3 linked regions of the Oryzias latipes genome follow. The protein of the gene in region 2 purifies or fractionates together with the protein of the main gene of each other region. This does not show direct contact. Links are inferred from orthologs where the notes say so. Each region holds a gene or a part of one and is shown on either strand. Other genes may lie near its edges.

Region 1 (10,011 bases), on a different chromosome or scaffold from region 2:
TTTCTGATGTCAGGGCCAGTGGCAGTTTTTTATGCTGTGGTGCTTTTTTAAGCAGAACATTCTCTCAGCTCTTTACTTCTTTGTGTGCACAGACATCATTGATGAGATACTTTTCTTACTTCTGACGTGTACTTTATATTTGCACATCAAAATTTCCAGTCTTTATGTTACATGTATATATAAAATGCAAAAGCCTAAAAAATAAATGTTTTGAAGCAGCATTTAAACATGTCATTTGTGGAGCATTCCCTCTCTGCGTGATTTCCTAATTTAGAGAGAGATAGCCCAAAAAAACATTCCATTTCATTTTTATGGCAGCAGAAGAAAGAACTTATTAAAGCAAGGCAATGTGCAATTTCTGTAAATACATGCAGATTTTTATTTATTTCCTTTTTACTTTTACTTAATTTGAATTTTAAAAAGATTTTTTTTGTTCATCTTTAATAACCAGATTTCCTCTTCCTCTCACAACTGAAGGCTTGTAGTGGGATACATGTGCAAAAATAAACTAACCTCCATAAATGAGACATCAAAAGTAACTCTTATTTCTGTCACTTAAAAATGTATCAGAAGTGGGAGGAGCGACTCCGCAGACCGTGAATCCTCAAAATCCTGCACAGCTTGTGTTACCATGGAAACGCCTGCTTCTTCTTGCATTGACATTGACTGCTGTCCCTGAAAAAATGCGTGTGATTCAAGGTTGTTCAAGCAACCAACTGACTGTTTATCGTGCAGAAAAAAATATAAAACCTCAACTTTTTACAAAAAGGAGTAGGTGTGAGGAGCTTCAAATAACTGTCGAAAGCAAAAAAGCCAAAAATGTAACAAAGAAGAGTCATTGTTTGGCACAGAGCCTGTGTTGTTTAAGGGTATTTCTAGAGTGGACACATTTGGTTATGCTTACACTGAACCAGAGTTTGCTTCCCCCAATAATCTAGAACAAATTTTCAGCCTGAATACACCCAAGTGGACCCTGGTCCAGGACAAGGAACCACTTTTTGACTTATCTCTCGAGGTGATTTCGGTAAGTTTCCAATAGAACTGAGTTTCGGTACATTCTGAGTTTTCTCAGTCTGAATAGTCTCTGTGCTTTGAGCAGAACAACTGAACCAAAACGCCATCATAGCCCAACATTATGGGATGTAAAAATAGTAGAAACGTAGCAACATAAGCCACAGACAAACATGAAGCAACGATGAGACACAGCAACTCATTGAAATTTGGTCGAATGAATGCAGGCTAATTAAAACAACTTTTAACGTTATACACATTGCTTCTTACACAGTATTCCCAACAATCCATATGTCATGAACACTTATCAGTGTTTCTTCTTAGCCGTCGCCTCCTCAGCAACCTCCACCGTACCAAAGTAAAAAGTGTTGTACATGACGTTGATACAGACGTTCAAAATTGGTCAGCAAAATATGAAGTTTAAAAAATTTAACCATCCCGACAAGGATTGCAAAGGGCAGGACTTCCATTATTCTTGCTCTTGTTGCTTTGCCCCCTCTTAATTCCTGAAGACTGAAGAGATCTTTAGTCACATGGTTTTGTTTACAAGCTTTGGTTCAAAACAGGAAAGTCTGCTTGACGGCAGTCGGAATACAAACCAAATGCAAGGGTCAGTACTCGAAACAGACCAAATTAAGTGGGCTTGGTCTGGACCAAAGGACTATTCCAGCCTGAATGAATACACCCTTAAAACACACAGTTGCAAGATGAGACTTCTTGAGTCAAATATTTGCAGAGAGTGAAGGGGTGTTTTTGATGTATGACTAAGCAGTAGCAGAGTCTGTGGCGAAGTGGAAGCTCTAAAGCTGATTTTGCAGCAACAAAGGAAAGGCAGACACACGATACGATCCTTCGACACAGTTCAGTGAGGACCACGTTCTGTGCATCTGGCTCCTTCTTCTTTATAACTGCATGTCATGTGAGCCGTGCTGCTGCACTGCCTGTGGAGCACAGAAAACAAAGACACTGATAGAAGCACAGCAGTTTATTGAACCACATGTAAGACATGCTTAATGTTGGGAATAACACACTTGAAATTCATTCTTCTGTTCCTGTCAGGAGATTTTGTTTGTCGTTTGGTTTGCATCACATTGAGGGGAAGACTTCTGTTAGAAGAAAAAAATCAACTTAATATTGTTCAGAAAACAGTGTCACAGATTAGAATTTAGCTACTACAGCCAACAGCATGTACCATACTTCTTCCCATATTGATTCATTTCAGGGTATCTAACATATCCAACCCCACCTTATTATTGTACTTACACTTCTGCCATTGTGTTGTGCAGCTTTCCGTAGTTTCTGGAGGCTTTTTTGCAGTGTGGCGTTCTCCTGCTCCAGTATGTTTACACGAATGCTGTTAGCCTGCAGCTGCTTCTCCATGTCCAAAAGGACATTTCCTGTTGCTAATGAACAAAGATTCATACAGTCTAAAAGTTTAGATTTAACATAGTAAATTAACATTGAAAACTACATTTTTTATTCAAATGTTAACAAATGCATGTAATAGTCAATAATGGCCTACTCTGTGGTTGGGCCCAGTTGTGGAGCTCTGGGAACGCCACCAAAATTCTCTCTCTGTCTCTTAAAGCGCGAACACGATCCATCAGTTCATGCAGCTGCTGTTTCAACTCCTCTTCGCGCATTTCTAACCTCTGTTTCTTCTTTTGTAGCTCCCCACACAGGTCCTGAAGTGCAAAAACACACAGCAAGTGTCTCTAAATACAGGACAAAACTATCTTTGTGGGCAAACCTGTAAATTGAGAATGTTCTAGTTTGATTTGATTTGATTTTATTCTACCTGCTGTTGAGCAGTCTGAACCTGCAGTTGTTTCTTCTCGTCTGACATCTGTTGCAGTTCATTGTCTAACTTCATTTGGGCCTCCTCGCTGTCCACCAGCTGCTTCTTCAGCTCTTCACACTCTTCATCAAGATCTTCAACCCTCTTTAGCAAAGATTTCTGCTTTACCTGTGTTGACTAGACACAAAATAAAGCAAGAAAACATCAAAATCTATATTCAGATTTCTTCTTAACGGGTACCGATTTGAGGTTTCAACATCTCAAGCTGATTTAACATGTAGTTATAGATTTTTCTTTTCTTTTTGAGACACAGACCTCTTGCTGACGGCAAGCACTCTGGTATTTGGCCCTCTCCTTATCAAGCAGCAGCTGAATGTCAGAGAGTTGTTCCTCAAGCTGATGGATCCTTTGCTGCTGTTGACAACATGCCTCCTGGTCTGTTTGTAGTTTTTTTACTTTCACTTGCAGAAAATTATTTTCACTTTCTAAGAAGGAGGACAAAGATTTGTTATGTAGTAACACAGCAATTTTATGAAAAAAACGTTTTTTTGCTATGAAAATGATAAAAACAAATGAAGTTAGGCTATTTTACCTAGAGTGTGTATGGTGTCTTGCTGCAATGCTACCTTCTCCCTAAGTCTAGCATTGGTCTCCTCTGAAGAATGGATTTCTGTTTTAAAGAAATTGAAAAAACAAAAAAGTTTAAACATGATCCTAACTTGTTTTTATTGTGCTGGTTAATGTGATTAATACCTTTTTTAAGCTGTTTATGCTCCTCCTGTTGCTTTTGTTCAGTTTGCTTTGCGCTTCTCTGTGCTTCCTGCAGTGAAAACTCCAGTTGTTCTATATTTGTTTGCTGTTTTTCTAGTTGTTGTTCAAAATCCTTCTGCACTGTTTTTAGTTGAGATCTGATGGCCTCACGATCCGTTTCAGCTGCTGCTACTCTGTCTTGGAGGGGCAGTACCGTTCCCCTCACATCCTGCAGGTGTTTTGCCAGCCTGCGCATGTCTCTGAGCTGTTCATTGGCCCACTGTGCAACATCACCTGGAGTCAGATGTCCCACCCTCACTGTCTCATCCACAACTGCTGAGAGAGGCTGCAGAGATGAGGGTAGACCTTCACTTTGAAACAGATCTATCAAAGATTCTCCAGTTTTTCTCAAAAGAGATTGCACTTGGTGACATGTACCACAAGGGATGAGGGACGTTTGTGCAGTCTGGCAGCTGACATTATGGGAGGCAGTTTTAGGATGGAATGAGGTTTGTTCGGGGGAACTGATGGTGATGTTATTTTGTGGGAGGAATTTAAATGAGCTTGTGGAAGACCAGGATATGGAAGAATGCCTGGAGCAACTTGTGCTGGATCTATTGAGAGGGGACTCGACGTTTGACTCATCAGATTCCACTGAATTTGTCTTTTCTGCAATGTTTTTGAAGAGTTCCTAAAAAGACATAAAAGGCATTTAAAGTCAAATACTTTTGCATGTGTTTTTATCCCTGTGGCATTACTAGAAAAAGAGGTTTCTTTACCTTTTTATCTGCAAATTGAAGTAAATCCCCCCAATAATTCCTGACCACAAGACCAACTGACATGCTGCCTCTGTGTGCAGCTCCTTCTGGTCTGTGGACCCCCATCTGTTGTTCAGCATAAACGCTGACGCTTTGAAGAAGAAACAGGAGCCTTGTTGGGGAACAAGAACATGCAGAGATGCTTTTAAAGTCATTATATATATATATATATATATATATATATATATATATATATATATATATATATATATATATATATATTTTACATGCAATACAACATTAGGTTACCTGTCAATCATCAATTCCAGGAGAATAATGTGGGAATGCTGATTGAAGTCATCTTCTCCTGCCACGAAGTCATATTCCTCCAACAAAGCAACAATGTCTAGATGACAGGAAAGTTTGTCCGGGAATTTCCAGGAGGAAGCGCAGACTGGTCCTGTTCTGGAGAGCACGTCCAGAACCGCACCCTGAATATCGATGAGGTCTTTTCTTAGATTCTTGATAGAATCCTGACGACCCAACAACAAACTCATGTCTAAAACGCTTATTTGGCGCCTATAAGTACTTGTTGACGTGAGGTCTCCTTGGCAACAGTTAACTCCAAGTCCCACAGTTCTTAGCGGATATTTCCGGAAGTAATTGGCCGCCATTGCGTTAACGAAAACGAGACGCGGTGAGTATTAACGTCGACAAATAAAGAATTATAGCTGTATTAGCTATTACTTTTTGACTTACAGAATTTTTTTTAAAGAATTCATTTCAAAATATATGTGTGTTGCTTTAGTGTTTTCAGGTAAAATTGGTGATTCGTTAAAAAGACGCAGCCATGCCGCCCGGGCCTGTTCAAATGGTTCAGCCTGAGCCTAACAACAAGGTAAGGACGCTAACTAGCTAACATTAGCCTCAGATATCCGTCGCTTTTCTTAATGATTTATCGCCTTATAAAATTCGCCCCCTTTATGCAAAGCTTTCTAAGCCTGTCCAAAATTAAATGCTAATGTTTATAAAGCTGTAAAACATATGGGGCAACGTTTGCGTCTATATGTGTGGCCCTAAAAATTCCCAAGTTGAGAAAGTCAATAAAATTAGGTAACAGATATTACTTAAACTATGATTGCACTTCAATATTTGGTATCTTTGCATATGGTTTAGACTAAATGTGTTAGTTGTATTCTCAGGTTTTTAATGATCGAGTGGTTTAATGTTTAAATTGTTGCAGTGTATCTTAGAATTACCTAAAGTAAGTCTTATTAATTAATAAGTGAATTGATAATGTTTGTGTAATAATATTTTTAAGGAGGAACTTCACTGTACTTGATGTTATTTTTAAATATAAATATTCTTACTTTGAACCTTCTCTTGTCAGAATGATACACCTCCGGAGGAAACTCCAGCCACTAAACCTATTGTTGGCATCATATATCCTCCTCCTGAGGTCCGTAATATAGTTGACAAGACTGCGAGCTTTGTTGCCAGGTTGGTTGCCAAAGAACTGTCACGTACAGCTGTAAGAGGTGTTTGCTATCTGTAGTTTGACTCTATACTTGTCACTTTACAGGAATGGGCCTGAGTTTGAAGCAAGAATCCGTCAGAATGAGATCAACAATCCAAAATTTAATTTCCTCAACCCCAACGATCCCTACCATGCTTACTACCGCCACAAAGTCAATGAGTTTAAGGAGGGCAAAGCTCAAGAACCGTCCGCCGCAGTGCCCAAGGTTATGCAGCAGGCTATGCAGCAATCTCAGCAGCTTCCACAAAAAGTAAGGACTGTCTATTTACTGTGCCCGGACCTACAAGGGTTTATATTTATACAAACTTGCCTTTTCTTCATCAGGTGCAGTCCCAGGTGATTCAGGAAACTGTGGTCCCCAAAGAACCGCCTCCAGAGTTTGAATTCATAGCTGATCCTCCATCAATCTCTGCATTCGATCTTGATGTTGTGAAGCTCACTGCCCAGTTTGTTGCACGAAACGGCCGTCAGTTTCTCACCCAGCTCATGCAAAAAGAACAGAGGAACTACCAATTTGACTTTTTGAGACCCCAGCACAGCCTTTTCAACTACTTCACAAAACTGGTGGAACAATATACCAAGGTAAAGGACAAAAATTACAGCTTTCTTTGTTTTTTTATTGAAACTGTGTTATTGAACTTTTTTAAATGTTGCCTCAACCTTTAGATTCTGATCCCCCCAAAGGGTCTGCTGGCCAAACTAAAGAGAGAGGCTGAGAATCCAAAGGAGGTTATGGACCAGGTAATTTATTTTAGCCTTCAGAAGATTATTTTCTATGTTTAAAACTGTCTTGTTACAAACATCAGGTGAGATACCGTGTTGAGTGGGCAAAGTACCAGGAGCGTGAGAGAAAGAAGGAGGAAGAGGAGCGAGAGAAGGAACGCGTAGCCTATGCTCAAATTGACTGGCATGACTTTGTCGTGGTGGAGACTGTGGACTTCCAGCCCAATGAACAAGGTAGCATGACTATAGGAACACCAGGTCCAGATGTTGCAAGAACCATAGTTATTAATTTATTCATTTGGTGTTTTTCCAAGGCCACTTCCCCCCACCTACCACTCCAGAGGAGCTTGGTGCTCGAATCCTCATCCAGGAGCGCTATGAGAAGTATGGAGAAAGTGAGGAGGTGGAGATGGAAGTTGAGAGTGAGGATGAAGAGGATGAACGGGAGAAACGAGCCGGAGGTCAACCCTCACAGCCTGACCAAGACACACAAGTGCAGGACATGGATGAGGTAAACAGTTATCATTTACTACATTTATACAAAGTCCAACACTTGTCTAGGTTTCTTGGTTACTTGTGTAGCAAATTCACAAATTTAAAATGCTACTTCTCCAGGGATCAGATGATGAGGACGATGGAATTAAAGCTCCACTTCCACCTGACAACCCCATGCCACCTCCTCTGCCCCCGACTCCAGACCACGTCATCATTCGAAAAGACTATGATCCCAAAGGTACATTTTTTTCTGTGATTGAAATATTATGAAGTATAAAAACAAGCAAATAAAACAAGCGGTGCATTAAAACTTGTTTCCTTTTTTTTTTTTTTTTTTCACAGCCTCCAAGCCTATGCCCTCAGTTGCAGCTCCAGATGAGTACCTCATTTCACCAATCACTGGTGAGAAGATCCCAGCCAGCAAGATGCAGGAGCACATGCGCATTGGTCTGCTGGACCCACGCTGGCTGGAACAAAGAGACCGCAGCATCAGGGATAGACAGACAGAGGATGAAGTCTATGCTCCTGGTCTGGATATCGAGAGCAGCTTGAAGCAGCTCGCTGAGAGGCGTACTGATATCTTTGGTGTTGAAGAGACAGCCATTGGTAAGAAGATTGGTGAAGAGGAAATCCAGAAGCCAGAGGAGAAGGTGAGTTCCGTAGAAAGTAGCATGGTTTTTGTGAAAAGCATCATTTGAACTCGTTTTTTTATCAACCTGATAGATTTTTTGTGAATACGCGTTCAACTTTTGTCTGAACTTTTTGGATTCTTGTGACGTGTCCAGGTTACCTGGGATGGCCACTCTGGAAGCATGGCTCGCACCCAGCAGGCAGCGCAGGCCAACATCACTCTACAGGAGCAGATCGAAGCTATTCATAAGGCCAAAGGCCTGGTTGGAGAGGATGACACTAAAGAGAAGATTGGTCCAAACAAGCCAAGTGAAAATCATCAGCCTCCCATGCCCTCTTCTGCAGTCAACTTACCCAAACCCAGCCCCCCAGTCTCATCTGTGCCTCGACCCCCTGTTTCTGTAAGTGTCCGTCTGAAAGGACTTAAGTTTGTGTTGCGTTAATGTAGCTTTCTGTGCACAAACAGATCTCTGGGCAATTGAGGCACAAACATATTTTTGAATTCCTTGACCTAGACTTTCTTCTCTGTTTCACTGCTTGATAACTAAACTTTACCTTCCCTTTCCTGGAACTTGTTTTTCTCTTTTGATGGCAAACAGATGGCCCCTCCGGTGCGGACCACTCTTCTGTCTGCTGTGCCGGTGCTTCCAAGGCCTCCTGTGGTGCGCATTACCCCAGGCCAAGTTCTCACATCAATGCCTCCCATGATTCCTGGCCCACGCATCAACGTTGTTCCTATGCCACCGTCTGCACCTCATGTCATGGCCCCCAGACCACCTCCCATGGTTGTTCCTACAGGTAGGATGAGCAGTTTCACACCTAGAGTGTTTTTTTTGTGTCAGGCTGCATTAGAACCACATTCTTTTATTTATGTTTTTATTGCCATAATCTTTTTTCTTTCTTTCTTAGCATTTGTTCCCGCTCCTCCAATGCCTCAACCTCCAAGCGCTGCTCCAGCTCCCCCCCACCATCCACCCCCACCGCATGAAGACGAGCCATCCAGCAAGAAGATGAAAACGGAGGATAACCTCATGCCAGAGGAGGAGTTCCTTCGTAGAAACAAGGTCTGCTGAGATGACGAATTGCAGAAATACCCTGGGCTGAATTTCTAACCAACAAACTCCGCTGGCTTATTTATTATACTGTTCAAAAAGCAAAATTTGGTGCACAAGGCTTTATTAAATGTTAACAGAATAATTATTGAAATCAAAGGTTCACCAATTTTTTTCCCCCACCATTTGCATAATTATTTATTTAAACTGAACAAATATAAATGGGGATTTTTAACTTTCTCGTTAATTCCTTTTAATCCTGTTAGCTAATTCCTTTTACTAGTTTTGTTAAACTGTGACATCAAAGCTATCCATCTCTCTCTCTGTGTTTTATCTTTCTATCTATGTAATCTAACTTATCAATTTTCTAATCTCCAGGGTCCTGTGGCTGTAAAGGTTCAGGTCCCCAACATGCAAGACAAGACTGAATGGAAGCTGAATGGGCAGATTTTGAATTTCACTGTTCCTCTCACAGACCAGGTAGGGCTGTGCAGATTTATTTTTATTTTTATTTTTTGTTACAGCCAGTGTCTCATTCATAAATGCTGCAACTGAAATATCTTCATAGGTGTCTGTAATTAAAGTCAAAATCCATGAAGCCACAGGCATGCCAGCAGGAAAACAAAAGCTACAATACGAGGTGAGTAGTTCATTTAACATTTGTGCATGCTGTAATTTCACTTCATTCATTATTACTAATTATTTTTGTTTTTATAGGGAATTTTCATCAAAGATTCCAACTCTCTGGCTTACTACAACATGATGAATGGTTCAATCATTCATCTGGCTCTGAAAGAAAGAGGTGGAAGAAAGAAATGAACTGTTACTTCAAAAAACAAAACAAAAAGTGTCGTTTGTGTTTTTCAGTTTAATTTTGTTGATTAGTTTTTGTTTCAGCGTAAATTTTGAAATGATTAGTCTTGGATATCTGTGTAAAGTCATGCTCCTGTATAGAATTGACTCAAAATTTGGTTCATCTTATAATTTGTTTTTAAATAACATTTGAGTTACTATTTGGGGAACACCATGTATGTCTCACCCATTGAAATAAAATTTAAAATGACATTTGTAGCTTTTTTTTGCATTTTATTTTAGTTTTTAACAGTGCATTCAATACACAAGTTTCTAGTCCATGTGATGCTCAAATTAAAACAATATTTTAAATAGGGAGCTTTAGTTCTTATTTATGCAGATACAGCTAACATACAATAATTTGTACAGCAAGCTTTGAAATGTTGGAAAAGTTTCACTTTGGTG
Region 2 (10,084 bases):
AGAATTATACTCTTGGCTGTGCTTAAACAGCCATTCCCCCCCCCAATTTTACTTGAAAGTGTGTACCAAACTTTCCCTGATTTGATCCCCGTTGAAGCATGACGCAGTGCTGGGACTTTCATCCATTCCTCTGTGTGACGTTTAGTTGAATGCTTTCTCTGTGGGCAAATTAGACAGTAAGAAGCCATCTTGTTTTTCTCACCCAAGCACAAAGCTCAAGCAATAACGTTTCCAGTTTGATCTTCTTTGTGGCGTTGGCTGGGTTGTAGTCGATTATTCTGTCCATCCAACTCCAACAGCTGCTGTGGTAGAGTAGTACGCAGCTACTAATAATCATTAAAAAAGACTTGTCATTGAGTACAATTGCTATGGTGCATGTTTATGAATGTATCCTTTCCAATCATGTTTTAATGAGCTTTGGATTGACAACTCTTAATGTAGATAGCATGAACGACAAACTATGGAAAACTGCTTTTGGGTATACATCAGTGTTTAATAGTGGATGTTTTTTTTTTTGTATTGTAGCAGACAGAAATATGGATTCTTACATTTCTTACAGAAGATTCTGTCTCTTTTCCACACAGTTGCACTGCTGACCTAATCAAATCCATAAAACCAAATTTAGATGTTCAAGTCTGATCGCTCCTTCTGATCCAGGTCATATGGAGATCGCCACCAAATTGTGTCTTAACACGGGGATCGATTCTTGCACAAAGTTTTCTCTTTTTGGAGAGGTCCTTCACACCCGACTACATTCAGATGAACAGTACCCGCGCCGCGGAAAACTTTGCTATGGAAGTAAATGCAGAGACAAAATGGTTTCTTGTTCCGAAAATGCTCCATTCAAAGTGATTTCTGTGTTAAAAAATATGCTGCTGATCCTTACTAATACTTTGTTACGATTCCTTATACTTATTCCTGAAATCTTAATAAACCTCTACACACAAATAACGTTTCTTCTTGCATGGAGGTAATGGTTTCTTAAAGAATTACTTGTCTTTCACAGATTTTCTTGTTTACGCTCAGAGAAAACAACCATCACAACAAACATGTTGACATGATTATTAATTTAAGATATTCTGCAGTTCTGTATTAAATTTTTCACATTTTTCAATGAACTCAGTACAACTGAGTATTAGAGCCACCAGGAAAGAGAAATCAACGAATATAAGAATAAAGTTGTAAAATTGAGAAAATGTCAAACTTTTACTTGATTTAGTTGTGAAATTGAGAAAAGTCTTAATTTTACAAGAACATTTGCAAATTATGAGAAAAAGTGAAAATTTTTACCAGAATTAAAAAAATACTTATTTTTTTTACAAGATGAAGTCATAATATTGTGAGTAAAGTCAAAATTTTACAAGAATGCAGTCTTACAACCGTGAACAAAAATTCATAATTTATAAGTTGTTTATCTATACATCAAAAAGTTGTCATTTTGAAATCAAAGTCATGCAATTTCAAAAATAAAACATTACATTCAGCTTTTAAAATAAATCAATAAAGAAAGCATTACCTGTTTTACTGATGTTGTCGAGAACATTGATGACATCACACTACTGAAAAATCTTTAAATCTGCTTTACTTTGGAACTTTATTTAAAAGAAAAAAACATACCTTTACCCTTGTAAAATTACAACTTTTTGATCCTAAATTTATAATTTTATTTATGTTGAATTTTTTATCATAATTAAACTTTTATGGTTAATCTAACACTCTGTCGTATTTGAGTCTTTACTGCCACCTACAGGACAAACACAACAACATCAGAGCAGAAAATGGGAGATGGCGAATTTTTAAAAACCAAAAACAAATCCTTTATTTCACTGTTATGTATATACATATGTTTAAATGCATCTGGAGCACTTTCAAATCAACACCATAATCTAAATTCAGATTTCTAAACTTTTGGACTAGACAAACGTACACCTCAAATCTAGACATGTATGGCTTTACGGGTCTCAGGGGCGGAGCCTTTTGCTGTAGTCGAACAACAAAAATCTACAGCCTCTTAATGACAGCCTGTTTTTACCACAGCGGACTGCAATCCAGTGCCGGAAAACCTCCCTCCTACTGATTGTTGTTGGACTTACACAATACAATAAGGAAAGAAAAATTCCACAATTATTCAAACACTGGTGTGCAAGCAACTCCTTTGAAAGCTTTCTTTACTTGAGAGTTTAATATCACGTATAAACACAATGGAAAGCACGGATTCAGCTCATATTATAGCAAATTATGTACAGAATGTGAAATCACTGGGGCATTAAATGCCTGACGTTGTACTTTGACGTGTCATTGTACTGGGTCATCGGTTTGTCTGCTATACCACAAGTTCCCACTCCCACCTTTCCGTTTACGCTTTCCGGGGAAGCAAATATGCTTCTTTTGACCTGTAAGACACGAAAAGGCACGATGAGTGATTAAAATTGAAAGCATTTCATGGCTTCAGGCCTGTTTAAATGCACCAATGCATCAATTCTACCTGTCCTTTTTTGTTCTTCGAGTATGCTTTGTTGTTGAACTGTTGCCATTTGGATTTTTGCTCTTCCCTCTCCTGCTCCAACTCCTTCATCCTTTGGACCTTTTTCTGGGCTTTTTTCTTTTTATATTCCCGTTGCTCTGCTATCATCTCTTTCCTAGAAATACGCACAAACGAAGAAACAGCTGGTCAAAACTGTGCAAACACAATACAACATTTTTCAGCAGATCACACAGACAAAAAGAAATAGAGATATTCACTGATTGGGACTTCCAGAAGCAATAATGCTTTCATAAACGTCTATAACTGACAGCAAGTGTCTTGTGTTTTATCTGAACTCAAACAAAAACCTACAAAAGCATTTCAACAGAAAAAATATCTAGTTTTTGTTTCTATTAATGAGAATGGCTCACTCTGTAAGAGACTGCCTACAAAGTACAAACTCTTGAAGACACGGTGGTTATAAAAATATATAAATTCACTCACATCGAACTCAAAAATGGTAACATTGATATAAGCTATTCATTCATAATCATATTTATGCTAAAACAAAGATTGGAGCAGAAAGACATTTTTATTAAAGATTTTTTATAGAGATGTGAATCACAAATGATCAAAAATGTTTAATAGCTTTGACGATAATGAAGATAGTCACTAAATGTTCTCACTGGATTAATTATTACCTATTTTACTAGTCAATAGTTAAGTGCTTTTTGTAGTTGATAGTTGCACTTTTTTTGCTCGCTTGTTCATGGAAGTGCACTGTTTAAATGTTACACAGAGCACTTGGAATCAGCCGATACTCAAAATCAAATGCCAAAAAAAAAACACCTGATCATTACATCCCTAGATCTAACTGTAAACTGATTAAAACATGCTGAGAAAACAAAGGACTAGAGAGAGGCATATTTCAAAAAGAAAAAATGTAATCTTTCCCCATTTCTGCCTATAGGTGATTCGTTTTTATATGAAATCATAACATAAAAACCTGAAAACATTCAAATGTTTTGGATTCTTGCCATTATGGTATTGACGCTAAAGATGCAGGCATCTATAATGGCTGTCTGACGTGGGGTGGTGGGCTCTAATGTGGTTTGCATACACAGTGGATTCATGTCTGTTATTATATAAAGAAAATACAAATTTTCTATGAACATCCGTAATGATTTTGTTGTATTTATCAACCACGTCTTAAAGTTTAGTCTATGAAAATATTATCCCCCATCAATAGCCCTCTGTGGTTGCATACTAGCGACACATGCAAAAGCTTGTGATTGGCAACTGGCGAGTGTTAATTTGGGTCTCCTCTTACTTGGACTTTGCCTTTGCACCTCCATCGTCAATAGAGAGCATTCCCTCCTCCAAGGCCTTGATGTTCTGCAGAGGAACCACTTCAGCGTTTCCATATCCGATGAAGTTTATGGCTGCAGTTCCGTTCTCTCGGTCTATCTCCTCAATTTCCGCTTCATACACCCTGCAAAAAAATCCCGTCTGTAAGCAGGTGAGTAGGAACCAAAAACTCAGGATTACTATTCTCAAAACTATTAAATCCAAACAGTTTTACAAGAGGATAAGTGATACTTTAGTTCAAAACAGGTCTATCATGTGGAAGTCCATCACCTAATATTCCTAATACTTAATACCCTTAAGTGTCAACCATCATCACTGTATATAAAAAAAACAATCAACTCTTTGAACTACGTTTCCACTGAAAAGCAAAAAAAAGATAAGGAATATCCTAGATATTTCTTAAAGGCATGCATTGCTATAAAAATAATTAAGGAGGAGGTGACACTCACTGTCCATCATTACCCCACAAAGCCATACATCGATCTCCCACTTTCCAGGTATGCTTTTTGGGAGGTTTTTCTGTACTGGTGGTAGTTGAGGTTCCATCAGTGGGCTGTGAGCTCAGCAGATCTTTTGTAAGTTCAATAACCTCCTGAAAAAGAAAAAGAGAGATTTTCATAGATGAGTACTTTATGAAAAGACACTTGTAACATTTTCAGACTTTTTTTAAAGGGTTGCAGACTATGCATATTTATAGGGTAAAAGATGTAAACCTAAAACTAATAATAATACAAAACAAACAAATGAATCAATAATTGAAAATGGTCCATTTGCAACAAGTACATCATTTGATACTATTCATATTTTTAACTTCCTTTCAAAGCCTGTTTAAATGTCTAACTTTCAGTCAATGAAATTAAACGTATTAATCAATATTACGTAAAAGATTACTTTGATCAAGTATAATAAATTTATATTTAAAGGAATAAATGAACACAATACATCTTCCTTGGCTTTCAAAATTAGCCTCGCATTTTGTTTTACTATGGATAACAAGATAAATTTAAGGAGAAAAAACAGCAATCACAAACCCGTAAGTCCTTCTGAAGCTTTTGAAGGTCTTCATTTTCAGTGTCGGTAGACAAAGCAAATTCGACTTGCTGGAGCTGAGCTTTGTAGCTGTTCAACTGTTTCACCAGGTCCTCAGACATCTGAGCGCTAACAAAACAAACAGCATCGTGCAGCATAAACTAGCCACTTAGCATTTGTTCGACGTTTCGGCTAAATTTACAATACGAAACACAAATTAAGAGAAAACAGGAGGGTGTATATAATATTCCACTAGCGCAGTGTTTCTATGGTCCCCCCAAAAACAGAAATACAATGTGTATCATGTGTCAACAACGTCAACCATAGCACGTCGCTAAGTGGGTTATCAAGGTCTCTTGGCCTAGTCGTGAGGCTACAATTACCATTACAAGCAAAATGCTAGCGTAATGACAAAAATGCAACTGGAAACAAACTTACTTTGGTAAGGGAGTTATCTGTAGACAAACGCGCTGATAATTAAGCTATTTATTGTTTGCTAACTACCTTAAATAATTATTATGATAAAGATAAGTTCTTCTTTCAGCGGCACAAAACTGACCGGAAACAAGCGGAAAATTTCTTCGCGAGATTTCCTTGCTTCAGACCGAGCCTTAAGAGACTCAATACTGCCCCCTGTCGGCCAGGAAGGGCACTTTCACTCTGCGCCCTAAATGGGTTTTTGCATTGTAAATATTTTAAAACAAGCAACTTTCTTGCGCAGACTGAAGTAGTAGGATATTACTACGTTTTTCACATTACTTAATAAAAGTCACGTGATTTGTTTGAAAGCCTTAAAATTATTATTTCAAAATAAAAATAGTGAATCTGTTTAAATGGTAACAGTTTGTTTTTTAGTTGTTTTTTTTCACCATCCATAACCATTATATTTTTTAATCATAAAAGTTTACAAAGGCGAGGATTTCTAAAACCAACCTCTGAAATTCAGCATAAAAATAAACGACAATCTCACAAGTGTTGTATGATGATCCTCATTTCCCCTTCCATGAATTCATAAAACAATCTTTTCACAAATCTTGCTTTCAAGGGATAAGAAGAAATAATATTGCAAAGGCAGAGTGCGGATGTACCGCTATAATCTTAAAACAATGAGATATTAAGTTTATAAATCATAAAAAAGAATAAATGTCATAATCCGCCAATGGCTGTAGCGTCAGAGCAATACAAAGCGTCCTTTAAATCTACACCAGATAAACTCCGCCCATCCTATTTCTCACTGAAGTAGAGGGAGCATCAAAGATTTCCAGCTTCAGAGGAGGATAATATGAGAGACATTCCTTCTCTTTTGCAGAAGAAAAGAAGACCAACCAGAGCCAACCTGCAACTGATGGAGTTTTTTTTGCGATGAAATATATTTAAAGATTTAAAATAAATTATTATTTGAGGTAGGTGAATCGGGATTTATTTGTCCAAATGAGTGTTTCAACTTTCCGAATGCATTTTTTTTTCAGTTGATTTTTTTTTCACTCTTAGGTAGAAGAATGAGAGATTTGTGCAGGAAGCTCTTCCATAGGAAAAAACTCAATTCTCCAACATTGCCATCTTGAATGGATTTAACAAAGAGTCAGCTGCAAAGCGCCCTCTTTGATCCCTTTGACAAGGAAATCTTCAGATATTCTCGACGCCCCAGCGTGTCTTGATGGGTTGTCTCAACCTCACTGGTGGAAATGAGACTTTTCTTGGGAAGCACCCTTTCAGCGTGCAGATCTCAGTGTCGCTCACATTTTTGGTTTGTATGCTCATCCTGCTAACAGTGTTTGGCAATGTGATGGTGGTCATTGCGGTTATCACATGCCGAGCTCTGAAGGCGCCACAGAACTTGTTTTTAGTGTCTCTGGCATGCGCAGACATTCTGGTTGCCACCTTAGTTATGCCATTCTCCTTAGCCAATGAATTGATGGGCTATTGGTACTTTGGTAAAGTGTGGTGTGAAATCCACTCTGCTCTTGATGTGCTCTTCTGTACGTCATCAATCATCCACCTGTGTGCAATAAGCCTGGACAGGTACTGGTCTGTCACTAAGGCCATTAAGTATAATTTAAAAAGGACTCAACGAATGATTAAATGCACTATTGGTTTGGTTTGGGTCATTGCAGCCATTATTTCATTCCCTCCACTTATAACTATGAAGAAGAACAGGGGAGAAGCAAACAGCCCTGTTTGCAAAATAAATGAGGAGAAATGGTACATTTTGTTCTCCAGCATTGCATCTTTCTTTGCACCCTGTGTCATTATGATTATGGTGTATGTAAAGATTTACCAGATTGTCATTAGGAGAACCAGAGCTCCACCAGGAGAGAAGCAAGTAAAGAATGGCAACTCCCCACAAACAAAAGACAGAAATGTGGATGATTTAAACGACGTGAAAAGTCAGGGGATTAATGGACTTGACATGGATGAGGAACCATCCTCATCAGATGGGAACGAAACCTGCCTACGCTCTCTGAGCAGAAAAATCGATGTGAGGAAGACCGACGTGACTGAAGCGAAGCCAGGAGAAGCCTCTCCAAAAGCAGAGGCACTGTCTCCCTTGAGAGTGAGCAGGTGGAAAGGGAGGCAGTACAGAGAAAGACGCTTCACCTTTGTTCTGGCTGTGGTCATGGGAGTGTTTGTTCTCTGCTGGTTCCCCTTTTTCTTCACATACACACTTACAGCTGTGTGTGACATCTGCTGCGTCCCAGAGACACTGTTCAAAATGTTCTTTTGGTTTGGTTACTGCAATAGCTCATTAAATCCTGTCATTTACACAATATTTAATGATGATTTCAGGAAGTCTTTTAAAAGAATTCTTTGTAAAAAAGACTTAAGTTTTTAGATAATATTCTTTATACCATTTAATGCTATATTTGGCTAATGTTCCTTTAAAACTATAGTTTGTTTTTACTTTTTCATGGCTAAAATGATGGTATTGTGAAAGCTTGCAATGTTAGATTTTAATATTTTAATGTCACGTTATGTTCATTTTTTCTATTTGTATTATCTGCAAGGTGAAGATTTTATTTTGCAGTTCAACAGTCTTTATGACAAAGGAGTCTTACATCAATAAAATCGATGTGAACATTTTGATAATGAAAGACAAAAGAGCCTCATATTGCAAAGAAATGCCATGCTAGTTCCCCTATGCTGGCTCTAACACACATTTTATACCGTTTTGAAAGGAGAATAATTCTTGTGTTGATTGTGCAATATGCTAAATTAACAGATAACCGCCCCTTATGTCACTTATTTGTAAATTAGCACGGATGTCAGTGTGATAATGTGCCCAATAATCTGCTTTCACTCCAAGCCTAGGACAGAAAATTCAATTTTGCAAAATAACAATTTCCTAATTGCTGTTGGATATTATAAAAAAAGACTGGATACAATTAGAAATGTCTTTTGCTTTTGCTCAAAGCAACATCAATAAAGGTACTTATCTTGAGTCACTTAACCTATTCATAACAAAACATTACTACCAAATCAAGTCATTTTACAAGTTTTTTTGGTTTTAAATGTAGAAATGTAATCTGGTTTGTTCAGCATTTGTGTCATTTGAAAACCAATAATTTTATTTTTTAATTTTTCTTGAGCTGTACTTCAAGTATTGCTGGTTTGATACTTAATGATACTTATTAAATTATTAAATTATTCATCCATCCATCCATCCATCCATCCATCCATCCATCCATCCATCCATCCATCCAACCATCCATCCATCCTAATTAAAAATACATAAAACATCAAATAAAAACACAACTCTGAAAAAAGTGGTCATCTCAAATGCAAACTTCTAATTTTTAATGAAGTGTCTAGAGGGAGTACTGGATGAAAAATAGACTTTTGGCTATCTCTAGTACAGCGATGCTTTTTAATATGCAATGTCCCTGTCAAATAAACGAATAAATAAAAAGGATTTACCATTATCACATAGTTAACAAGATCCACAGGCAGCAATATTTACCACACAAAAAAGATGATACCATCTTATAACAAAGACAAGAACAAAACAATTACATGAAAAGAAAATGATGCCTGGGAGGCAGGTTTGCACACTAACATTGAACAATGTTTATCATGAATTATTGCCACTCATTGCAGAAGGTCATTAAATCTTCCCCTAGAGTCAAACAGATGTCGGACCATGATGGAAATATGAGTGGCTTGCTGCAAATTGCAGTGTGAGGTTGATGTCCACAACCTTATCAGTCCTACGATCCTCAACCGGTGTGCAGGTTGCTTCATATTTATCAGTCTTCTCCATTCCAGCACACATTTCACACCACTAACACCTTATTTCCTTCCCTTTTTGATTCATTTTATATGCTTTAATTTTCTAAACCATGCAATAAATGTGTGATTATGAGTTCATACATGTACCCAACAATGATTCCCATAACTCTGGATTGGAATTTTGAAATTTCTGTGGTTTAAGTGTTTCTCAGGGTCTTAAAATTAGGCATTACTGACCACAAATGGAAAAACAGTCAGTCAGAGTATTCCCACAGAATTATTCATGAGCCATGAATCTGTTTCTCCTGCTTGGACTTGGGCATATTTGTGACATGAAAGTTATGATTTCAGCTCTGATTTTTTTTTTATTGTGCTAATGGGGTGCAGTCAGAAATGTAAATTAGACAATATCATGGGAAATTCCATCCATCCATCTTTAAAGGCAAATATCTTTACCTGACTTCACGCATAGGTGTGTTTAGGAAAATTTCACTTGAGTGATTGCTTTCCAAACACACCCTTTGATTAAAAAGGGCAGTGTAGCTGCTGTTTGAGCAGCTTTACAAATGAACGACACTTTCAAATGCATCTGCACCCAACAATTAGATTCAACAGCAATATTAAAACATTTAAGCAAAACAAAAAATGATGAAAACATAACATATAGATTTAATAATAATATAAACAAGCATTGCAGATTTCTAGTTATATACATTTTGCACAAAATGTGAGGAAGTTTTTTTTGAGTAATGATTCTTGCAATAAATGTAACACTGATAAGTATATCTAAGTCTCTGTTTGAGTGGAGGTTATGGTCAGTCATTAACCATAAATGCTAAATTTCACCAGTTGATCTTGTCATATTCCTCTTTTCTGTCTGAGATGCTCCCTTAGAGGTCACTACAAAAAATTATGCACTTTCATCTAACCTTCATTTATCGTTTTCACACCCTCATATCATCATTTGGAACAGCCATAAGTTTCTTTTTTATAACC
Region 3 (9,970 bases), on a different chromosome or scaffold from region 2:
AGAAGTTCTTCTTTAATCTGAGAACTCAGAAACCTTTCAGCTCAACAGCTAAAATACCTAATCTGTCATAACTCCACCCGTGCGGCTAGGAATCTTCTTTTTAGACATCAGTGTCCGTTTTTACAGTTATGAGCTGAAACATGTCAGAAAATATGACTTCTGCTGCATTTATTTTCCCTAAGGATAAAAACTGTCAATGAAGCTCTGAAATGTCATCAATTGGATTCTATATAAGGATTCTAGTAGAAGTGTTTCTCCCAGATGAGGGTCAGTGTGCTGCACAAACTCAGACAATCAGATCTGTGTAAAAAGTCTTCAGTTTATTGTTCACAGATTGACATGTTAGAAAGGTTTATGAGGAAAAAACTCAAGCTGGAAAACATTCTACTGACTAAAACAGGAAACTTTAAGCAGTTATGATTTAAAAAAAAAAGTCATCATGGAGATTCTCCTTCCTGAGTAACTACAGCAAGCCCTGCCGCTTCAGATCTTCATAGGTCTTCTTGTTGACCACATTTCCGCTGGAGTCCTCGTACTCCTCCTGTCAGTCCAGATGGGGGGGAAGATGAGAAGTGAGCCCTCACATGTCCACATCACATGTCCACATCATGTTCTCAACAGTTTTCTGGAGGAAACCTCACCTCTGTGTCTGGCTGCCAGCGCTCCAGAGCCTTCTGGGACTTCAGCTTGGCCCACACTGCAACATCCCACAAACATCAGAGGTGACACGCCCCCCCCTCGCAACAAGCACACACATCAAAACCCATCAAGCGGGACACTCACGGGAGACTGCGTCCTCGATCTGTGTGACGTTAGCGAAGTGAGCCGTGTTGGGGATCCCCAGGCAGCGCATGCCGTGAGCGTGCCTCCACTCCTGCAACACAAGACGGGTTTTTTTCCACACCTGACCCCCACACGCGTTTAAACGCACACCCCACATTGACAACGAACACCTACTGCAAAGTGCCTCTGGAAGGCTTTGGGTCCCCTGTAGGTGTAGTTTCCACAAATCTCACAGTTGTAGTTGATGTTCAGACCATGGAGCTTATAGAGCCAGTATGGGATCGGCTGGAGAGGAGAAGATCACAAGAGGAAGCTTCCGATGACTGAAGCTGAGAGCTCGTCACAGAATGATTCGGGTGGCTTTTACCTTTCCATCCCAGCCCAGGGGCAGATTCTTGGGGTTGTAGATGATCTCGTTATCCTCATCTTCGCTCTCGCTCTCACTGAGCTGCTCCTCCTCCTCTTCCTCACGCTCCTCCCCTGTCCTGGCCTGCTTCCGTTGCACGTTCTCGTGTGTCAGCTGCCTCTGCTCCTGTGAAGGACAAGCGAGGCGGCGGCTATAACTTCCGAGGTCACAGCTGCACCAGAAGCCAGTCCACCAGCTCCACACTCACCCCGAGGATCTCCACAAGCTCGTACACCTGGGCCTCCAGAAATGCGATTTCCTTGTTGCGCTCAGTGTCTCTGAGGGGGAGGAGGGGAATATCAATAGAGACGTTAACAAAACACCATCAAATTTAGACTGGATACCTTTTTAAAACTGCTTACTTTTTGGGGCCTTTGGCTTTTGGATTCTTGGCAAACAGAGATGGATCGAGCGACTCCAGAGATTTGCCTTTGGTGCTGAAGAGTCTCTGCGCTCTCTCCTCCAGAGTCCTGGAGCAAACAACATCATGCTGGTTTTTCCTCACGCCCATCAGGCCACAGCAGAAATGTCCAACAAACCCCAGGGTTTTATCACTATTTAAGTTCAACTGCTGGACAGGTAAACTCTGACGTCACCCAGAGGACATTTAGTTTTAACAGGACAACCAAAGAGGTTAAGGCTTTGAAATTGGCTGATTGGTCTCCTATAGTAAAAGACCAATCAGAGCTGAGCAGCACTCACCCTCCACACTTCAGCTCCAGAGCCATCAGAGCAGACTTCAACCTGTCCAACCCCAAAGAGGCCAACTCCTGAGAAACAGAGAAACGCATTAAACAGGAAAGACAACCGCATCAATCAGTCATGCATGAACGCTGTGTACCTCCCAGGATGAAAAGGCAGACAGGTCCAGATGAGCTCCAGCGTGTGTCAAAGCGCTGCTCGTTTCTTTCTGCATCAGAAACGTTTATGTTCAACGTTTCTTAAATCTGAGATCGTGTTCAAACGTTTGGACAAATGAGGAGAACTTACAGGCCAGCCTGGAAAGGTCCCGTTGTCCCATTTTTTCTCAAAGTCGGTCAACACTTTGCCGTAGAGGTCGTTCTGGTCCAGCAGGGGTTTGACCCTGTCGGTGTAGTCCTGCAGGTACTCCAGCAGCATCTCCAAGTATCTGCACAGCCGGCAGCATTTTCCACCTTAATGCTTCGCGTGCGGAAAAACAGCGGAACTTTCGCCGGAACAAACACTTACTTTCTGTACTCAGCATTTTTCCGGTCCTTGGAGATGTCAAACAGTTGATCGAAGGAAGACAGGTATGTGATGTAATCCAGTTTCTGAGAACCACAGGGCAGTTAGAAAGTGCACCTTCATGTGAATCTGGACACGGATCAAGCAGATCTGATGGATCCTGACCTCAGACCCCTTCAGGTTGATGTACTTCAGGTAACAGTCATGGAGGTCCAGGTAGCGGCCGTATCCCTCCTCATCCGTGAACTCCACCATGTCTGAGGCAGACAAAAATCTGGGTCAAACCAGACTCAAACTATTCTGCTCGATTTTTCTAAAACTAAAACAAAGGCTTTAAAATTAAATCCATAAACACTTTAGACCAAATATATATATATATATATTTTTTATCTACAATACAAAAAAAAGACTTAAAGCCGGCTAGTTGCCGGCTTGTGAAGGGAATTCCTACATTTAAGCCCCCCCCCCCAAAAAAAAATGAATTTAGGATCTAGCTCACCAAAGGTGGAAAAACTAAAACAGATGTGTACTTTGAGAAAGAACTCTTGTTTGTTAATAAGAGTTAATGTTTGTAAAAGAGAAGAACAAGATAAAGAATGCTTTGGAGGTGGATCCGACTTACTCTGAGCTTCCTCACTGAGATTTTCACTGGCTTTCATCAACTCGTCAAACTCTGCAGACATGGGGATGGAAATCTACAAGGAAAACATGTTAAAAAACGGTTTAATGAAGGTCACATGACCATCAACAATTCCACATGGATTATGGCCATTACTAAAACACCAAGTGTCCTTCTGCTGACATTTTCTGCAAAACAATCCTGTGATGCACAAAAAGGTTTCCTCCACAACTTTCAGTCGCTCCAAAGAGAGCAGTTCCCCTCAAGCTCTGCAGAATGAGCAACATTCCGGCACAGAATGTGTCGGTCTATTAAACACACATTTGACATACTGAGGGCTTTGTGTTGCGCTTCTGACTGATAATCCAATAATGTCCATACCCCAGAACAGGAAAAGTATTTTTTGATACCTAAGTGGCCGAGTCTATTTCTTTACCTTTCAGTTGTTCCCTACAGTGGGTACCACAGGGAATCATCTTATGATTCCCAGGATGGCCTTCCTAACACAATTCCTAACACAATAACTAACACACTCTATAGTTTAAATCTTTTCCTGATATGAAGCAGCGTTTATAAATAACTCCATCTGTCAAACCACACAAAGCAGTGCTGTTACAACTCTGGATTCTGTACCTCATTGGGGTGCTTCCTGTGAAACTCCTTTATGTGTTTGAGTCTGTTGTAGAACTCAGCAAACTCATTTGGTCCAGAGATGGCAGCGAGCTCGTCTCTCCTCATGCTGCCAAAAGAAAAGAAGAAGAAAAAAAACAGCTGCAGTAAAGAAAAAGAAAAGATTCAGACCTGTGGGTTCTTAAGACTACAACACTCACCCATCTTTGTCTTCATAGGAGTCTCGCAGGTTTGCACTGACATCCATGTATCTCTGACGAAACACATTTAGACACAAGCATTCTTGAATAATTCCATTTTTTTAAAGTGCTATCATCAAAATAAACATCTCAACTTCTTTTGTCATTTTAGTTTCAAAGTCTTAATTATGACGGCCTGTTATTGTTATATTTGTACAACCTTTCTTCATTTAAAGCTACTACAGCTATGCTTTCAGTAGTTTATATTGCATCTCATTTAGATAATACTACTTGTAAAATACATACAAACAAAATGTCCAGATCTGAGAGACAGACAGGTCTAGTTTTGTGAATGGCTTTGAAGGTAAACTCAAAATTTTTAAGTTCAAACCGGAAAATGGAAGTCAATGGAGCTGCTGGATGAATGGAAGCAGCAACACCTACCTGTGTGTCTCCTTATTCTATTTGGACAAATGAGTTCATAATCGGAGTAAAAAACACTTATTCCTTCTCATCATCATGTGTCCTTCTTCTGACTCCACTATATACTTTTTCGCTTTGAGTTGTCTATAGTAGGAAATATAGTAAAATTTTCACTTGTCTCAACAGCTTATGGATGATTGGTCGTCTTTAAGATAGCTCATCTTAAGTTAAGAAGGCAATGTTTCAATGTCTATTTTAAAACTATCTGTAGCTTTTGAACTAATACTATGCTCTAAGCATTGTAGCGGTGGCGTAAGCCTGCCGCTGTGTTAGCATCAACAAAACGTTGTTTTTTTTTTTTAAATTCTACTTACATCGAGCATGGCTCTAATCCGATGGTCGGAATTAATCTGATCCCGAAGCTGAAACAACAAATAACACATTACAACCATTAATTTTCTGTTTTAGGAGGATAACGTCGTGGCACGTAATGCCAACGTTAGCCTGCAGCGGCTAAGCTCACCGTTGACTTTTTCTGTAACATTTCTTTGGTTTTGGCGTCCATGAGCCGCTCCTTCTCTTCGTGATAGCGGCGCTGTTGTTCCAAAATAGTCTCCATGTTTCGGGAATATCTCGTAGTTTGATTGCCTGTTTTCTTCTTGTCTTTTACGCTAAATGAAACCAAAAAAAAGCTACTACGTTTGTTTCTATTGAAGCATTCTAACGTACGCCGGGGTCCGTCACCAGATAAGTTTCTGAAGAAACACCCCCCAGTAAAACGGTTCCGCTTTGATAACCGCTTCCCTAACAGACATACACTAAACTATTACTTTAAATAAAAATACTCAAAGCTTGGTTTGCAAAATTACTTTTAGATCGTGGAATCTCATTAATATAAAATATTTTTGGTTTTGTCACTTTTTTTTAAGGAATGTTGTTTTTAAACTAGACTGGAAGTGTAAATGTTTTGCCTGGAAAAAATGCACTTCATTGCATTGTTCGTGTTTTATAATGTTGTATATGAGCAAGAAATGCAGATTCTCGTTGTTTTTGACAGTTAGAGGCAAATATACATTTGAAAATATGAATTTAAGACTTTCAAGCTAGAAAGACCCACCTTAGAGAGGAGGTGGTGATGCTTCAGAGTATAGCTCTAACAGAGGATGAAGAACAAGAAGTTTAAGTCCTGCATTCCCACAGTCATCAATGAAAATGTGAGGTTTGTGCAAATTACATGGATGAAGTGAAAGTGTTCATCAGGACATAGGGAGAGAGCAGAGAATTCGGTATAATGTGTTTCACAAGGACATGGGTCATCACCAATCCCAATTTCCGGATAGCTTCAACTGACAAAGACACTACCTCCATCGGCAAGGGGGGAGCAAGGGGATCTCGCCTTGCCCAGGGTGTCACTTGGGGGACATCTTTGTGAGTCCTCCCAAAATCAAGGGAGCTGGCTCGGCCCTGGGCTACAAACTGGCTACTATTGAGGAAGTCTGAATCAGAAGGAGGCTGGTAAAACTGACATCTATCATGGATAATCCCTCCTAACCCGTCATCATGCTGTTAAATCTCTCAGTAACATATTCAGTATCAGACTGTGACACCCTTGTTGTAGGTAAAAGTGCCATCATCCACCCTCTCCAAAACCATTATGATGTGCAGAACAACACTGCACAAATTGCGTTGTAGAGTACACTCATTCTGCATTTCAATATTTTACAAATGTTTTAGCCCATGCAATATTTTAAGCCACGCAATGTAAAGACCAATAGCATTTTTTTTGCAGCCGCTCAACACCTTCTGTTTGTTTTTTATTCATTAGCAGTTGTTGATTGGATGCTTTTACTCCTGGATGCTCTGCTTCCACAGGAGACGCAGCGATCAATCATTCAGAGATCGGAAAGTGATTGCTGTCTCTGACTGGCGCCACAGTGTTCTGATTTTACTCCGTGTTTTCCTCCTGTCTGTCCTGACTTTAACCCTTTATAATCTGTTGGGTCTTCAACAGATTCAACAGTGCTGCAAGGACACTAACGGACACACAGAGATAATTTCTTCTTCTTCTCAGAATATCTACCACAAACTATCAGTACTTAATCCTCTCTCATCCTAAACACAGGAACGCTTCGAGGCAGTGTCCTTGCCCCTCTTCTTTATTCATTAGTTACACAAGACTGAACCACAACTGATCATTTAAACACCATTGTCAAGTTCCACCACACAGCTGTGGTAGGACAAAAACTAATTAAGCTGCCAACAAACTAAAAGTTCAGCATCGTGTGCTTAAAAAACTGGATTTAAACGTTTGAAAAACAAAAGATTTAATGATTGACTTCCAGAAACACAGATGTGAAACACCCCCACCCAGGACACAATCTGTTCACATCACAATCCTCTTGAAAAGACATTTATGAAAACTAGAATAAACAGAATAAACAAAAGTTGTCATTCCTTCTCTGTGTGTATCTGATTCTGCCTCTGATGAACCTAAAATATTGTCACTAATTATGCCACACAGATATTTTAATGGCTCATATTGTGTTCCGTTATTGCTGGGTTATTGCTGTCTTTTTTCTTCTTTTTTAATTTTATTTTTTATCATATTTAACCTTTTTCATCTATTATCTACCTTTTACTGCTCATGCATGAGCAAACTACCAAACTGAATTTGTTTTTTTGAACAACTTTGACAATATAATTTATTGTGAATTTATTTTAAATAATCTAGTTAAAAATAATTTAATCCAATCTAGCCACAGGGGTTGCAAGCCAGTTGCCTCTGTGCCGGTCCCAAGCCCGGATAAATAGAGAGGGTTGCGTCAGGAAGGGCATCCGGCGTAAAAATTGCCAAAATAACCATGCGAATCATCCACACCACTTTAGACATACCGGATCGGTCGAGGCCCGGGTTAACAACGACCGCCACCGATGCTGTTAACCTACAGGGTGTCGGTGGAAATTTGACTACTGTTGGTCGAAGAAAGAGGGGAGGCAGAAGGGCCCGTGGCCAGAGAGAGAAGGGAAAAGGCAGGAACATAGGTTTGAGAATAGGGACTCTTAACGTTGGCACAATGACAGGGAAAGGCAGAGAGCTGGCAGACATGATGGAGAGAAGGAAGGTAGATGTACTGTGTGTGCAGGAGACAAGGTGGAAGGGCAGCAAGGCACGTAGTATTGGAGGAGGATACAAACTGTTCTATCATGGTGTTGATAGGAAGAGAAACGGGGTAGGAGTGATTCTGAAGGGGGAGTTTGTAAACAGTGTTCTAGAGGTGAAAAGAGTCTCAGACAGGATGATGAGCCTAAAGTTAGAAATTGAAGGGGTGATGGTGAATGTAGTCAGTGGGTATGCGCCACAGGTTGGCTGTGAGTTAGAAGTGAAGGAGAGATTCTGGAGTGAGTTGGATGAGGTCATACAGAGTCTCCCCAGAGGAGAGAGAGTTGTTATTGGAGCAGACTTTAATGGGCATGTTGGTGAGGGCAATAGAGGTGATGAGGAGGTGATGGGCAGGTTTGGTGTGAAGGAAAGGAATCTGGAGGGACAGATGGTGGTGGACTTTGCGAAGAGGATGGAAATGGCTGTAGTCAACACTTACTTCCAGAAGAGAGAGGAACATAGAGTGACATACAGAAGTGGAGGTAGGAGTACCCAGGTGGACTACATCCTATGTAGACGAGGTCATTTGAGAGAGGTTATTGACTGCAAAGTGGTGGTAGGAGAGAGTGTAGCCAGACAGCACCGCATGGTGGTGTGTAAGATGACTCTGGAGGTCAGGAAGAAGAAGAGAGGGAAAACAGAAAAGAAGACCAAGTGGTGGAAGCTACAGAATGAAGAAACTTGTGAGGAATTTAGGCAGAAGTTGAGACAGGGTCTGGGTGGTCAGGATGAGCTTCCAGATGACTGGGAAACTACAGCAGAAATTATCAGGGAAACAGGTAGGAAGGTGCTAGGTGTGTCATCTGGAAAGAGGAAAGACGGTAAAGAGACTTGGTGGTGGAATGAGGAAGTACAGGAATGCGTCCAGAGGAAGAGGTTGGCTAAAAAGAAGTGGGATGTAGAAAGGACTGAGGAAGGTAGACAGGAGTACAAGGAAGCGCAGCGTAGAGTGAAGAGAGAGGTGGCAAAGGCCAAACAGAAAGCTTACGATGAGCTATATGACAGGTTAGACACAAAGGAAGGAGAGAAGGACTTGTACAGGCTAGCCAGACAGAGAGACAGAGATGGGAAGGACGTGCAACAGATAAGGGTGATTAAGGACAGAGATGTAAAGGTGCTAACAACCCAGGAGAGTGTACAGAAAAGATGGAAGGAGTATTTTGAGGAGCTGATGAACGTGGAAAATGACAGGGAAAGAAGGGAGGAAGATGTGGTTTTTGTGGAGCAGGAAGTAGCAGAGATTGGAAAGGATGAGGTTAGGAAGGCTCTGAAAAGGATGAAGAGCGGAAAGGCCGTTGGTCCTGATGACGTTCCTGTGGAGGTATGGAAGTGCTTAGGAGAGGCAGCAGTGGAATTTCTAACGAGGTTGTTCAATAGGATTATAGAGAGTGAGAAGATGCCTGAGGAATGGAGGAGAAGCGTTCTGGTTCCGATCTTTAAGAACAAGGGTGACACGCAGAACTGCAGCAACTATAGAGGAATAAAGTTGATGAGCCACACAATGAAGCTGTGGGAAAGAGTAGTGGAAGCCAGGCTTAGGAAGAAGGTGGAGATTTGTGAGCAGCAGTATGGTTTCATGCCCCGTAAGAGCACCACTGATGCCATTTTTGCTTTGAGAATGTTGATGGAAAAGTACAGAGAAGGTCAGAAGGAGCTGCATTGTGTGTTCGTAGATTTAGAGAAGGCGTATGACAGGGTGCCGAGGGAGGAGCTGTGGTACTGTATGAGGTCGTCTGGAGTGGCAGAGAAGTATGTCAGAGTAGTTCAGGACATGTATGAGAGAAGTATGACGGTGGTGAGATGTGCTGTAGGTCAGACAGAGGAGTTCAAGGTGGAGGTGGGACTACACCAAGGATCAGCTTTGAGTCCTTTTTTGTTTGCTATGCTGATGGACAGGCTGACAGACGAGGTAAGACAGGAATCTCCCTGGACAATGATGTTTGCAGATGACATCGTAATTTGCAGTGAGAGTAGAGAGCAGGTGGAGGAACAGCTAGAGAGGTGGAGGTTTGCTCTGGAAAGAAGAGGCATGAAGGTCAGTCGTAGTAAGACAGAATACATGTGTCTGAACGAGAGGGATCAAGGTAGAAGCGTTAGGTTACAGGGGGCTGAGGTGAAGAAGGTGCAGGAGTTTAAGTACTTGGGGTCAACAGTTCAGTGTGATGGGGAGTGTGGAAAAGAGGTGAAGAGGCGAGTGCAGGCAGGTTGGAGCGGTTGGAGGAAAGTGTCAGGAGTGTTGTGTGACAGAAGAGTGCCAGCAAGACTCAAAGGAAAGGTGTACAAGACAGTGGTGAGACCAGCTCTGCTCTATGGGTTAGAGACGGTAGCAGTGAGACAGAGACAAGAGGCTGAGATGGAGGTAGCGGAGATGAAGATGTTGAGGTTCTCCTTAGGAGTGACCAGGTTAGACAGGATAAGGAACGAGTACATCAGGGGGACGGCTCATGTTGCCTGTGTTAGCGACAAAGTCAGAGAAGCCAGACTGAGATGGTTTGGACATGTTCAGAGGAGGGATAGTGGATATATTGGTAGAAGGATGTTGGAGATGGAGCTGCCTGGCAGGA

Evidence for each region.
Region 1: the proteins of smndc1 (region 2) and sf3a1 purify together in Homo sapiens (affinity purification with mass spectrometry; 3 studies listed by BioGRID and IntAct, with this or other methods). This does not show direct contact. The link is inferred for Oryzias latipes from reciprocal best matches to the Homo sapiens genes SMNDC1 and SF3A1.
Region 3: the proteins of smndc1 (region 2) and sf3a3 purify together in Homo sapiens (affinity purification with mass spectrometry; 3 studies listed by BioGRID and IntAct, with this or other methods). This does not show direct contact. The link is inferred for Oryzias latipes from reciprocal best matches to the Homo sapiens genes SMNDC1 and SF3A3.

Annotation. Positions count from the first base shown.
Region 1 is NC_019867.2:18,883,820-18,893,830, reverse strand, and holds sf3a1 (splicing factor 3A subunit 1), read left to right. Parts: upstream 1-4,991; 5' UTR 4,992-5,014; intron 5,015-5,125; 5' UTR 5,126-5,167; coding exon 5,168-5,215; intron 5,216-5,707; coding exon 5,708-5,817; intron 5,818-5,899; coding exon 5,900-6,104; intron 6,105-6,178; coding exon 6,179-6,436; intron 6,437-6,520; coding exon 6,521-6,595; intron 6,596-6,660; coding exon 6,661-6,811; intron 6,812-6,891; coding exon 6,892-7,088; intron 7,089-7,192; coding exon 7,193-7,310; intron 7,311-7,414; coding exon 7,415-7,722; intron 7,723-7,857; coding exon 7,858-8,103; intron 8,104-8,301; coding exon 8,302-8,500; intron 8,501-8,611; coding exon 8,612-8,766; intron 8,767-9,132; coding exon 9,133-9,234; intron 9,235-9,322; coding exon 9,323-9,394; intron 9,395-9,471; coding exon 9,472-9,573; 3' UTR 9,574-9,819; downstream 9,820-10,011. Other genes in the region: ccdc157 (coiled-coil domain-containing protein 157), read right to left, coding at 2,067-2,117, 2,275-2,414, 2,534-2,696, 2,810-2,986, 3,125-3,294, 3,402-3,479, 3,563-4,250, 4,339-4,489 and 1 more. UniProt on the Homo sapiens protein: Component of the 17S U2 SnRNP complex of the spliceosome, a large ribonucleoprotein complex that removes introns from transcribed pre-mRNAs.
Region 2 is NC_019873.2:19,581,802-19,591,885, reverse strand, and holds smndc1 (survival of motor neuron-related-splicing factor 30), read right to left. Parts: upstream 5,457-10,084; 5' UTR 5,300-5,456; intron 4,991-5,299; 5' UTR 4,984-4,990; coding exon 4,864-4,983; intron 4,425-4,863; coding exon 4,282-4,424; intron 3,957-4,281; coding exon 3,795-3,956; intron 2,640-3,794; coding exon 2,486-2,639; intron 2,394-2,485; coding exon 2,256-2,393; 3' UTR 1,053-2,255; downstream 1-1,052. Other genes in the region: alpha-2A adrenergic receptor-like, read left to right, coding at 6,519-7,694. UniProt on the Homo sapiens protein: Involved in spliceosome assembly.
Region 3 is NC_019869.2:17,928,132-17,938,101, reverse strand, and holds sf3a3 (splicing factor 3A subunit 3), read right to left. Parts: upstream 5,021-9,970; 5' UTR 4,866-5,020; coding exon 4,770-4,865; intron 4,669-4,769; coding exon 4,621-4,668; intron 3,898-4,620; coding exon 3,845-3,897; intron 3,754-3,844; coding exon 3,648-3,753; intron 3,091-3,647; coding exon 3,018-3,090; intron 2,653-3,017; coding exon 2,561-2,652; intron 2,482-2,560; coding exon 2,399-2,481; intron 2,319-2,398; coding exon 2,180-2,318; intron 2,100-2,179; coding exon 2,031-2,099; intron 1,960-2,030; coding exon 1,892-1,959; intron 1,660-1,891; coding exon 1,552-1,659; intron 1,468-1,551; coding exon 1,398-1,467; intron 1,316-1,397; coding exon 1,151-1,315; intron 1,069-1,150; coding exon 958-1,068; intron 875-957; coding exon 784-874; intron 698-783; coding exon 642-697; intron 542-641; coding exon 464-541; 3' UTR 300-463; downstream 1-299. UniProt on the Homo sapiens protein: Component of the 17S U2 SnRNP complex of the spliceosome, a large ribonucleoprotein complex that removes introns from transcribed pre-mRNAs.